3 linked regions of the Drosophila melanogaster genome follow. The protein of the gene in region 1 interacts with the protein of each later gene in a pairwise test. Each region holds a gene or a part of one and is shown in the gene's direction. Other genes may lie near its edges.

The links.
Region 2: the proteins of Poxn (region 1) and hale interact in a two-hybrid assay, tested with the Drosophila melanogaster proteins (2 studies listed by BioGRID).
Region 3: the proteins of Poxn (region 1) and ftz interact in binary tests that used the Drosophila melanogaster proteins (3 or more experiments, as listed by UniProt).

What each region holds. Positions count from the first base shown.
Region 1 is NT_033778.4:15,832,055-15,837,065, reverse strand, and holds the start of Poxn (Pox neuro), read left to right. Parts: upstream 1-2,010; 5' UTR 2,011-2,383; intron 2,384-5,011. UniProt on the Drosophila melanogaster protein: Transcriptional regulator that specifies poly-innervated organs (chemosensory bristle). Also controls the number of neurons.
Region 2 is NT_037436.4:19,983,915-19,987,546, reverse strand, and holds hale (hale-bopp), read left to right. Parts: upstream 1-1,678; 5' UTR 1,679-1,771; coding exon 1,772-1,992; intron 1,993-2,051; coding exon 2,052-3,051; 3' UTR 3,052-3,121; downstream 3,122-3,632. Other genes in the region: schuy (schumacher-levy), read right to left, coding at 1-764, 828-1,383; CG17732 (uncharacterized protein), read right to left, coding at 3,356-3,632.
Region 3 is NT_033777.3:6,862,693-6,866,754, forward strand, and holds ftz (fushi tarazu), read left to right. Parts: upstream 1-1,631; 5' UTR 1,632-1,701; coding exon 1,702-2,449; intron 2,450-2,596; coding exon 2,597-3,081; 3' UTR 3,082-3,552; downstream 3,553-4,062. UniProt on the Drosophila melanogaster protein: May play a role in determining neuronal identity, may be directly involved in specifying identity of individual neurons. Required during embryogenesis for the process of body segmentation.

The sequences.
Region 1 (5,011 bases):
CGCATAATCGCCTTGTCAGATAGGGCAAGACACACGTTGAAGGACCCGCGGAGGGGGTGGCCCATGAACAAGCATACTGGGCGTTGGGCGTGGCCAGTTGGGTGGGCCAGTGGACTGAAGGACCAAAGGACTCTGTGCCAAAAGAGACAGAGAGGTGTGTGTTGATGCCACCACGCACGGTTGACTCGCTTGATCTTATTACGCCGCGCTTGGTTGCCTGGGAAAAGTCAGAGGCAGCTGCTCGGATAGCTCGGATGGCTGGTAAATGGCAAATGGTTACCGGCAACCCGGCCTTTGTGACAGTTTTATCTCTGGCCAGCAGAAGCTATTGCCAAGCTCTTGCCATCCTCCTGCCATGGGAAAGCCATCGCGCTGAGTGGGCCTAAGAATTTTGCATGTTTTCGCACAGGTTTTTGTGGTTTTTGGTAGCAAGTGGATTTGCATACGCCACGCGGCTCCAAAAAACGGGTTAGGCTTTAGCCAGTCTTGGTGGATCAGGAGTTCCCCCTGCTAGGGACCATTGATTTCCTAGTCATGGCAACTAATTTCCATTCATCATGTTCGGTACCTCGAATGGATCAATAATCCGGACTCCTCCCTTGGAACAATCACAAACAATGTGACAGCTTTATCTTTCAGCACCAGTCGCCGTCGCAGTGAAAATCCATTTCCAATTGTGAATGCCGAGCGACAATTGTCGAATTCAATTAACGCCTGCGGCACCACCGAGCGTTACTTAACGCCGACACCCACCCAACGACCTCCGCCTCCTGCCGCTCCTCCTACTCCTCCTCCTCCTCCTCTCCCCCGGGAGTTTCCAGCGGGTGGGCAAGGACGAGCCGTAGCTGTGGCCGTAGCTGTGGCTGTTTCGCCAGGGTAACGGCTATGCAGTGTCACAATGCGGATGTGGATGTGGATGGGGTCCTTGGAGTGGGCGAGATACATACACTATCAGTTTCTATGAACCACACGATGCAGGACGTGGGCGGGGGGCGGGAGTGAGAGCGTTTGCGTGCTGCGTTGCCTCCGCCGATTGGCCGGAACGCGGCTGCAACGGCAACGCATCGGCTGCGGAAACGGCCACGGATAAGGCTACGCTCTGCCGCAACGCTCTCTGGCCGGAACTCGCCGACCATCCACACCAAATTCTACTACCCCCAGAGCGTTCACAGAGCGAAGGCGGGCTGCACGGACGTCATGCAATCGCACAGTGGAGCAAAAGTTGCAAGCTGGATTGTACTGAACTTGCTCGGTTTTTGCTCATAACATTAAGTTTGTGTACCAAGTTAGAAAAACAATTTTGACACTAAACTATTAGTTTCAAATCAGGTGGCTCATTCTTAACATTTCAAAGTAGCTTTAATGTAAAAGGTCATGGTATCATGCTTCTATAAGGTTTCCTTTCTTCCCAAATATATTACAATGTAATCCTAAAAAGTTTTGAACTCTTAAATCACAAAGATAGTTTAGTTAGCTGCACTTGAGTATCATCACAATTTTTACTACTAACCAACTAATCAACTAACCAGATTAGCAATGTTTATCTACAAAGGTAACTGCGTATTAGTCACTCTCTGAATATAGTGGCTTTACGTAATTACCCCTAATTTCAATGCGGTTTTCTATGCTGTTGAAATCGACCTAGCCCACTAGCCTCTAGCTTCACACTTGACCCACTGTGCCCGTGTCGATTTCGCTCCCGGAGGACGTGTCACCTGGCCCCCACCCCTGCTGCCGAATCTGGCCAATGGCAGCTCACCGTCGGCGCAGCGTGCGACGCATGCGCACCGGGCCAGCTCTCTGATTGGCTCTCATTGGCTGGCGGTGGGCCAAATGGGGCTGAAACCGACGCGGACGTCGCAGCCGTGAAAAACCGGTTACACCAGAAAAACGGTTCGTCCGTGAGTCCGTGAACGCTTGTGTCAGTGTGTGCGGGCCGCGTATTACGAGTGTGTTAGTGAGCGGCGGCTTTTCGGTGGCGTTTTGGGCCGCTCTGCTTGGCGGCGCTTCAGTAGAAATTGTCGGCTGATGGACCGCGGGCGAGGCACGAAGCCAACTCTCAATTTCCACTGCTACCGCCACTGCCACTGCCACAAAAATTGATCGAATCGATGCGCCGGTCCCGCGATTCGCGTGCAGTTAGTCGAATTTTTGACGGTCGAGTGACAAGGTGCGTCGCGTTCCGAACTCCCAAATAAGAATCATACAGAAGCCATTAGCCGTCGCGCCTCCGAACTGAGTAATCGGCCATTATCCGCGGAATAAGCCACACGGTGCATGCAAAACTCGAGCGGAAAGTGTTGTGCTCAAGTGATCAAAGGATTCGAACCAAGTTGCGGCAAAGTTATTGGATAGCCGGCGAATTCAGTGCTCTAAGTTTAAGGTGAGCACATCTTTTGAATTATATATTTCAAAAGTATAACCATCTAGGAAAGATACTATTCATGGAAGATTATCCGTTTTTGGTCAAGCTTTTATGCTTGCACAACGTTTTTAAATTGAGCTTCACCAAGTTATGTTGAATTGGTAAAGTTTAAGTGTTCATTTGCTATCTAGATTATAAAAAATAGAACATAAAAAGATAAAAAACTAGCAGATTCAAGTATCTGTTATAATATTCCATAGATCGTTTATAACGAATTGTCATTATTATTGGCATAAATTAGTTAGAATACATTTGCTTGGATCTGAAAATAAATTTGAGCTTTTATTTGAATCTGCTTCATTAAATGAAATTAGATGACAACTTTATTAGTTCACTGACAAGTTTTTAGATTGTATATTTTGTTGATTTGGATTTTACGCCAGATGTGCTATCTCGTTTTCTACTCGAGACCAGATAAGCTTAATTGAACTTGGTGAAAAGTGCACACATTGCATTTTGAGTGCAGACACATTCTAATCCGTAATATTATGCCAACACTTGACAAAAGCTAACGACGATGACTTATCGGCGTCTTAATTAAGATCTGGTCGCATCCATCGACCTGCCCATAATGACCACCATAAACGATCGTAATCAATTTGTTTGCGCATAATTTGCTTTCTCAACAACTAAATCATTAAAAATCGAGTCGCTCCCGATCAGGTTGCGGCGTTTTTGAAAGACTTTAATAACGATATTTGCTTATCGAGTTCGACACATCGGTCTCAAGTCCGACCTCGTCCCCCCAGACCCAACGCCCTGCCATCGATCGGCTTATTTCTTAATGAACGACGATCTGATCTAACGGATCGAGTCTGAACGGAACCAAACGGGGCGATCTTCATTCAACCGGCGGCGTTAGTTTCGGCCAAGATTCGATTCCAATAATATTCGAATAATATTCATGTTGTGAATGAAGTGGAAGATGCCACCGGATGGCCTGAATCGAATTTGCAATGCAAAACTACGGCCAATTGAACTTCCGCCGCACCGAGATAACTCATTTAAAGCGGACCAATCGATCGTTGGCCAGACTGCCAACGATCGATGACTGCCTTTTTGGCCAGACTTTAGTTTTCCCACGACCACGGCGAGCGACAAAAGTCAAAAATCGTATGCTAATTAATTCTTTGTCATGCCGTCGTTTCTGGCTGCCATTATGGCCCATTGACTTGTGTGCTTTCTAAGCCAAAGCCCAAGCCACCGGCTTTCGGGGCTTTTGGCCATCGGCAACGAGGCAACGAGCCGTCGGACAACTTACTTAAGCGTGGTCCAGAAAGAGCAAGCTAATCATATTCAAATGGTGAAGCGTACGTTTTATTATAATTTTTTTATTTTAATTAGCGGCTGTTAATGCCCCGCTTGGCTCTGGCTTCGATCGATCCATTGATCTGCGGGGGGGGCAGCAAATGATAAAAAATAAAATCAAGGGAGAGGGTTCCGAAACAGAAGCTCGGCCAACCTGTCGGTTCCACTTTCGGTAATCGCACGAATTTAAATTATTGTATGTTTAACTAATTTCTATCGGTTTTTATGTCTGTTCCGCTTGACATGTGCACGGAGCTAATTGAGACTTACGAGTTGAGGATTGTGGAGAAATCGGTAGCACTTGGGGAAGATACTAATTATACTCGTATATTATCCCCCCTGAAAACCAGAAAGCGGTTCTCGAGAACCCAGATTAGCAACATCCCTATATATATAACTCGCAATTTGGCCTCAAGATCGCATTCAACATTTAAAATTGTAGCCGTTGTGGATCTGGAAAAAACCTTTGCTACGCGTTCACATTTTATAAGGTCTCTTAAAATTAGAGGGGATTTTTTGGTCTCACCAGATACTTTGGATCACTGCTTGTTAGTTAGATTAGATATATTTCCAAAAGTAATACCTCAAATTTAGGTTTTTGTGTTCTGCAAGATACATTTTTCAGCATTCTAAGGATGGATCGTACCCAATAATTGATAATTAACACGTGTAGAAGTGGCAAAGCAAGTGGAATAGTCGCATATTTCTAGGGGTTGCTACTATGTCCGGAACTATTTAGTTTTGACTGCTCACTGGCCTCGATTGGGCCACGAAAAATTCCAGAGAAATGGGCGAGCAGCACGCCAGAGGGGAAATTAACCCTTTCATTGCGGCCAAATTGGATTTGGCCGGAATGTCTATTTCACTTTCTACAAAACCGAGTGGATTTGCAATCCTTATCGCACTGTCGGCCAAATCGTGGCCCCGGGCCAACTGCTAACTTTATGGCCTTAACGGCCAGCACGAGTTTCCCGTTCGCGGTGAGTGGTAACCGAAAAACTGAGACGGAGACTGAGAAGGTCCAAAAAAAACCTAATGAACAACTTAATTTCGAGTTCTTTTTTTCTCGTTCTGTTTGGTGTTTTTTCCGTTTTTTTTTTTTATTTCAAAGGGGGAGTGTGTGGTGCGTGCGGTGGTTCGGTGGCTTAACACGCGCATTTCGGTGGTTTTACGAGCTGAAAAGCGGCAAGGGAGCTGGACGAAGGACTCCCGGGCTCGGCAATTAAATCAAATGTGAATTCCATAATAACATGGCCATGACAAAGTGTGGACCGTCGG
Region 2 (3,632 bases), on another chromosome or scaffold:
GAAGGGTCCCAGGCAGTGGCAACAAGGATGGGGGTGCGTCCTGCACTGGGAACACTGGTTGCACAAGGATTGGCACGAGCAACAGGGATAAAATCCTCCAGAAATCGGAATATTCGGCTGCTGCTGCAGCGCACAAGTGGAGGTTCCGAGAACTGGGTGCATCATGTGCTGGCTGATCTGACCACCTAATCCCATAGAAGGATGTGATTCCATGCTCGACAAAGGACAGCAGGATGTACCACCGTTGTAGCAGCCGTTTGCAAAACTCTCCGGCTTCAACATGCAGCAGTTGCTTCCGTTGGCTGGACATTGATACTGATTGCCCATCTGCATTGGGCAGACTTGACTCGTCCTCGACGGACAGCAATTGCTGCACGTGCAGCAGGAGCAGCTGGACATGCTGCTCGGCGTGGCGCACAGGAACTGCTGGCCAGGATACATGACAGGACAACCCGATGTTGCCGTCCCCGGCTGATTCATGTGCATAAAACTGATGGTCACATATGGCGAGTTGTTGGTCGGTTGAACTCGCACGTTCGGGTGTTGCTGCAGCGTCAAATGCTGCTGCATATGTTGCTGCTGCTGCTGCAGCACATTCTGCTGCATGTTCTGATGTTGCAGCAAGGACATTTGCTGTTGATGCTGCTCATTCAGCGACGGTTGTCGCTGTTGTTGCTGTTGCTCCCGATTTAATTTTAAAAGTTTTTGTCGGACCTGGGCTGCAGTTTGAAGGGATAACTTCCGAGCGGCTTGTACAGTGTTACCTGGGGAATAAAGAGGGAGGAAGGAACATAAATATAGAAGCAATCTAAAATGAATAATATAACCTTTCTGGTTGCTATTGCTGGTGGTTGGATACTGCGGAAAGGCTTTGTCCGTCTGGGATCCTGCATTAGAAATGGCGTAGGAACGCGAGGTCTGCTGCGTCTGACACTTGCCGGTTTGGTCTTCCTTCGACTGTTCTATGTCCTGTTGAATCCGATTCCTAGCCAAAGCATCCTCGAGAACCACGAACGAAGGTCTATTCGCCAGATCCTTGTTGCAGATCTTAACGAAAGGCGGCAAAGTTTCGGTTTTCTTGATCTCCTCTATGGACTTGTCATTCTTGCTCTTCTCCAGCTTTTCAGTTGAGTCATCATCGATGTCATTTGAATTCCCTTTGAGCACAGCTATGCACTCTTTCTTGGTTTCCTTAGTGCCATTCGTCAGTGGGGAGTTACTACTGTCTGCTCCGCTTTGGGGATTCTTGCATTCCTGATTAAGTGAGCTAATTTCGATGAGACCATCAGTGCCCACGGTAATCATGAAACAGCATTTGGCCACCGTTTCGTCATTTGATTTGGCCAATTGCCCTGATGATTCATTCTCGCCTGGGGCCTCCATTTTCCTGAATTTTGATGTGTTTTCCGGGTGTTGTGAGTTGATGTTTCCTAACGCATATCAAAAAGTATATCAGGCGACAAATGTACTGTCAACTTTGAAATGCTCATCGAAACTGGATTTCCCTTACTGTGTAAGTAGTGACCAAAACGTTCTTGGTGTTTAAGATTTTAGAACCATATTAATATTAATAAGATAAAATTATTTAAAAACTTGAAACAGTATTTATTTCTTAAAATAATTCAAATTATATACTAGAGAAGCAAGTCTGGTATCAATCAGTATGTCTCAGCTTTATGATGTCAAACATTTCTACACCTTTTGTGCTTTAACATGTACACAAAATTGTCATATCCGTGAGTTGGCCTCTCCGGGTGGTGAAGAGTTGAAGATGTTCTGCACGGAGAGCTGTGAGCACGGATGCAATGCAACCTCGTCGGGCAAGCTGATCGCCAATGGAAACGGTGGCGGCCTGCAGTCGCAGGGAAATTCACAGCATCAGTTCACCATGTCCTACGCTCCACTGTCGACCAACGATGTGCCCTCCAAGTCCGAGGTGGAACCACCGCGACTGGGCATGTGCCTGGTCACCGAGTGTCCAGAGGGTCTGAGGTAATTTATACATGAATTTCCATGAAAAGTGATTCGATTTCTACTCCCTTCCTCTCCAGCATTGACTGCAATGTGCCACTGCCGAATTCTTTCAATTTGGATGAATACAAAAATCACATGATCTGCTCGAGCTGTACCCAGTTCAATGGTGGCTTGGACAGATTTGGCCAGCCAGGTACAGCCGGTCCAAGTGCCAGTCCTAGTGCCAATCCATATCCAACTCCGATGCCCAATCCCATCCAGGCCTCTCCTTGCAGCTTTCATGGCCAGTGTTGTTCAGCCGGTGGACCATGCGCTGGATATGATTCGCAGCCAAATCCATCAAGATGCTATCGACAGGAATCATCGTTGGCTCAAGGAGCCCCAGCGATGCCGCAGATCTTTTGCCTGGCACCACCCAGTTCCCATGGTGGCTTAAATCAGCCCGTTTACTTGTGCAGCCTGATTCCAGTTCCGCCATCGTGGAACCTGGTGCCGCTGGCCCAACCGCAGCACTTGACGCATCAGCAGCTGCTGACGAATCCCGCACAGGACTCGCAGCTGCCGTTGCAGCAATTGGTGCAGTACGACCTGTCCTTCAATCGCCTGCTGGCCGAATTGCGCAAGGAACGGGAGAGGTCCTGTTGTGACCTGCAGATCCCCCAGCCTCTGGCTTTCCAGCTGTATGCGCCCACGGTTAGGTTTCTAGATCAGCCAGATTCCAGTTCGGCGAAGAGAGAGCCTCATTGCCCGCCGGCAGCTCCTTGTGCTCCTCCAGCTGCACCACCACAACCACCATCCTCGTCATCATCCCCAACAGCCACATCTGCCTCCGCCGCCGGGCTGCCAAGAGCTCGTTCGGCCAGCCCGAAGCGCAGTCGTTCGTGTCTCCGGAACAAGGATCTCTGGGACAGTGGCGGATCCGTACCAGGTCCATCCCCCTGCTCCTCGCCCACCCAACATGCGACCGGAAATGTGTGCATGAAGTGCGGAAACTGCTGGCATTGTCCGCGCTGCAACTGCTCCAACTGCTTCTGGCATCCCGGCTTGGTGCGAGCTCCTCCAAGAGATGGTCGCTAGGGAAGGGGACTAAGAGCCACTCCTACACTGTAAAAGAAGAAAGTGTAATAAAATTCCAAGACTTTTAAGCAAGCAGCTTGCCACTATTTCTTAATTGAATTCAATAATAAGAATATTTATTCTTGCAATATGAAGAGAGAGTCACTTTTAAGGTTTTTTTTTCGTTTATTAGTTTGTAATATTTAAACCCTATTTATAAATATTTTATGATACATAAAAAATGAATTCTTTCACAATTTCTACAGCAGCTAGGACTTATATCACAAGTAATGTTCGTTAAACAATGAACTGTAATTAAAAGTAATTATCGATCAGCCTGCATGTTCATAAAGCTAGCCACGTAGTTGGACATGACCGAGTTTATTCCGAAATGGTCGTTTCTGGGCTCAAGGGGTTGGGATTGCAAATTCCGGTGGCCGGGCAAGATCAGCGAAGCTGGCGGCAAGGGAGTTCTTATTTGGCAAGGATACGGATCCGTTCCCAGCTCAGAAATCCTTGTGCGACAACGCCTCACTTTCCGGGCAGAGGGACTAACTTGGGTGCAGGTCCTGCTGCTGGATTGGCAATACGGAGGTGGCGGA
Region 3 (4,062 bases), on another chromosome or scaffold:
GCAATCACAGGACATCGGAGAGATGCGAACTGCAGTCTCTTCTGTCAAACTGAAAAACGCCATAAATTTTGTGGAACAATGGAATCTGCCAGAGTATGCGGATGGGGTAAGGGTAGAATTCGCACATGCACACATATGTCAGGAGTATCGATATGTTAGGGGTGTTCAACGGGGGTGGCTAATAAAATTTATCCAGGCCGCGTAAGCCGATCAGAAAGTCATGTAAACACAAAAGTGGCTGAGAGATGATTGTTTTTTACCAGTCAATTTAGCTGAGCTGATTTCAGGTTATACGCGAACCTAAGATGGAAGTAGATTTTTAGATTACCAGAAATAACCTTCAGTTTCTAAAAGAATGAGAAATAGTAAATCGTGAAGCCTGTGGCATTCTTACCCCTTACTGAAATGAATGTAACAGGTAGAAGGCAGCAATTGCAGTGCTACAAAGTATATATATTCTTGATCCATATAAGTATAAGTATAAGAGCTATAATGTTATAATTAAACATGAAGATCCTACGCTGTGCAAGTTTTGTGCCACAAATTTAACTCAAGATTACCACTCACAAAGGATACATTACCATTTGGCCATTAAAAATTACAGCATCCATAGACAACCTACTTAAAATTTATAAAAACTTGAGGGTTATATCACAGAGTTACCGAAAAAAAGCGTAAAAGCTTTATATTCTCAACAATATTATGCTATTAAAATATTGCTGGTTTTCTGCTGTTATAGAATCATTTTTAAAAGTATAACGTAAAAAATAAAATAAAACTAGTATTCATTTGAAAAATCAGCGGGCATATAATTTATATCATATTTTTAAAATTTAGGCAAAGGATGTTTGCATAAAGTTTTTACTGTTTACTAGTCATTTTGGAAGTGCGTTTGTTGGTTTTTAGGCAAATACCGGGCACAGGAGTGAGTTTGGGAATCGGGAGTTGCGCACTTGCTTGGCCACGAGGGCAAACAAAAAGCGCAAACACGCGACCCTCGGCCACGCGTATTCCTGATCCCAGGGATCGGACGTAATGTTATCCTTTGGCCGCCCAGTGCCACGAAATAAATTCGGAGGGAAAGGGCATCGGGTTCCGGGAACAACTGGCAGCCAGTCTTCGGTGTTTTGCGCGCTGGCAAAAATCCAGAGAAATTTTTAGGGAACCATAAACGGGCCGGGGAAAAAGCCTCTGCCCCGAAGGAACGTTTTCAGCAACAGTTTACAGTTTTTATGTCTTTATGATTATTGCAATTAGAGGGAGATCGGCTGAGAGTCGCGCCCTCTCGCTCTGCGCACCTCATAGGTAGGCACCTCATGGCCGTAATTACTGCAGCACCGTCTCAAGGTCGCCGAGTAGGAGAAGCGCGCGGGCGGATAAATCGCGATGATAATGGGCGCGATGGGTAGGTAATAAGCCGCGCAGCAGGTAGGCACCGTACGGATAAAGTTGCCAGGACCTCGGATAACTTCCCCTCTCCGTGCCTGCAAGGACATTTCGCCGGAGGGGTGGCTGCGAACAGCAGGCGGCAAAGTGTCATGCGCAGGGATATTTATGCGCTATAACGGCGAGCGTGTGCCGAGGGCTCTCTGATTTTGCTATATATGCAGGATCTGCCGCAGGACCAGCTCATTCGCAAACTCACCAGCGTTGCGTGCACATCGCAGAGTTAGAGAAGAAATCTAGCAATACACATCCGATATGGCCACCACAAACAGCCAGAGCCACTACAGCTACGCCGACAACATGAACATGTACAACATGTATCACCCCCACAGCCTGCCGCCCACCTACTACGATAATTCAGGCAGCAATGCCTACTATCAGAACACCTCCAATTATCAGGGCTACTATCCCCAGGAGAGTTACTCGGAGAGCTGCTACTACTACAACAATCAGGAGCAGGTGACCACCCAGACTGTACCGCCCGTGCAACCCACCACCCCGCCGCCCAAGGCCACCAAGCGCAAGGCCGAAGATGATGCTGCTTCCATCATCGCCGCCGTGGAGGAGCGACCCAGCACACTGAGGGCTCTGCTCACCAATCCCGTGAAGAAGCTGAAGTACACCCCCGACTATTTCTACACAACCGTCGAGCAGGTGAAGAAGGCTCCCGCCGTAAGCACCAAGGTCACCGCCAGCCCCGCTCCCAGCTACGACCAAGAGTACGTGACTGTGCCCACGCCCAGCGCCTCCGAGGATGTCGACTACTTGGACGTCTACTCGCCCCAGTCGCAGACGCAGAAGCTGAAGAATGGCGACTTTGCCACCCCTCCGCCAACCACGCCCACCTCTCTGCCGCCCCTCGAAGGCATCAGCACGCCACCCCAATCGCCGGGGGAGAAATCCTCGTCAGCTGTCAGCCAGGAGATCAATCATCGAATTGTGACAGCCCCGAATGGAGCCGGCGATTTCAATTGGTCGCACATCGAGGAGACTTTGGCATCAGGTAGGCATCACACACGATTAACAACCCCTAAAAATACACTTTGAAAATATTGAAAATATGTTTTTGTATACATTTTTGATATTTTCAAACAATACGCAGTTATAAAACTCATTAGCTAACCCATTTTTTCTTTGCTTATGCTTACAGATTGCAAAGACTCGAAACGCACCCGTCAGACGTACACCCGCTACCAGACCCTGGAGCTCGAGAAGGAGTTCCACTTCAATAGATACATCACCCGGCGTCGTCGCATCGATATCGCCAATGCCCTGAGCCTGAGCGAAAGGCAGATCAAGATCTGGTTCCAAAACCGACGCATGAAGTCGAAGAAGGATCGCACGCTGGACAGCTCCCCGGAGCACTGTGGTGCCGGCTACACCGCGATGCTGCCGCCACTGGAGGCCACAAGCACCGCCACCACCGGGGCACCATCGGTGCCAGTGCCCATGTACCACCACCACCAAACCACCGCCGCCTACCCCGCTTACAGCCACAGTCACAGTCATGGTTATGGCCTGCTCAATGATTACCCTCAGCAGCAGACCCACCAGCAGTACGATGCCTACCCGCAGCAGTACCAACATCAGTGCAGCTACCAGCAACATCCACAGGACCTCTACCATCTGTCTTGAGGTCCGGCGATGCTCAGTTACTCTCTTCCCCAGAGCGGAACCGAAAGCCGTACCGCCACGAAACCGAAGCGCACTTCTCTCGACCATTTGTAGGTGACACGCAAATGACACAGCCGAGAACGAAGCTGCGACGCGATGAGTTGCACAGTAGAGGGCGCACTCCCTACGGTGCCCAGGACATTTTGGGCACAAGGACGAGTGCGCAAGTGCAGAAGGCAGAGGCAAAAGAGGCAGCGCAAACAGAAAAGGAGCCTTGCTGCGCGCGGAACCCAGTGGCTGGCCATGATGGGTTCTCAGCGATCGATTAGCTGCGGCCAAACACAAGCCCAAAACACTCAGCTGGGAGTGATAATGGCCAAGAGACTTGGAGACTGACACACATGTTTTTGTACATATAGTAGTTAAGATATTCCTATCATAGAATTCTATTTATTTAAATATACGAGTAAAGTAAATCGATCGAATTTAAACAAATCAAGTTGAACATTCATTTGGCAATTTGTGAAGAAGAGTCTTGGGCATGCTGCAATTTGACTGCTTTAAAATTTTAAATTTATAGGCCGTGGGCCGCGTATGTGGAATACATTTCATATGTATATGTGTTGAAATAAAATTAAATGCCTTTCAATGATAACTACTCAATAAATTCTTAAAATAGTTTGGATCAACGTATGGTATTTGTCTAACTACTTTCACCGAAAACATATCACAAGGCAAAGTTTACCTTCAGCCTATTTTCATACCTTATATATGCATATAATACATATATATGATAAAAATGGAGTTTAGGAGTTAAGGAGTTTAAATTATTTAAGTATAAGCCTAATATTTAATTGTTCGTTGAGAAGCTTAAGAGATCTCTTGGTTTACTTTCTGATGAATTGCACATGGTTGAAGCATTACTTTCGAACTTATACGAAACGCAAACGATTTAATGTTGAGCACGAATCGTACAAATTCGAGCAGCTGCATTTTGTCGCT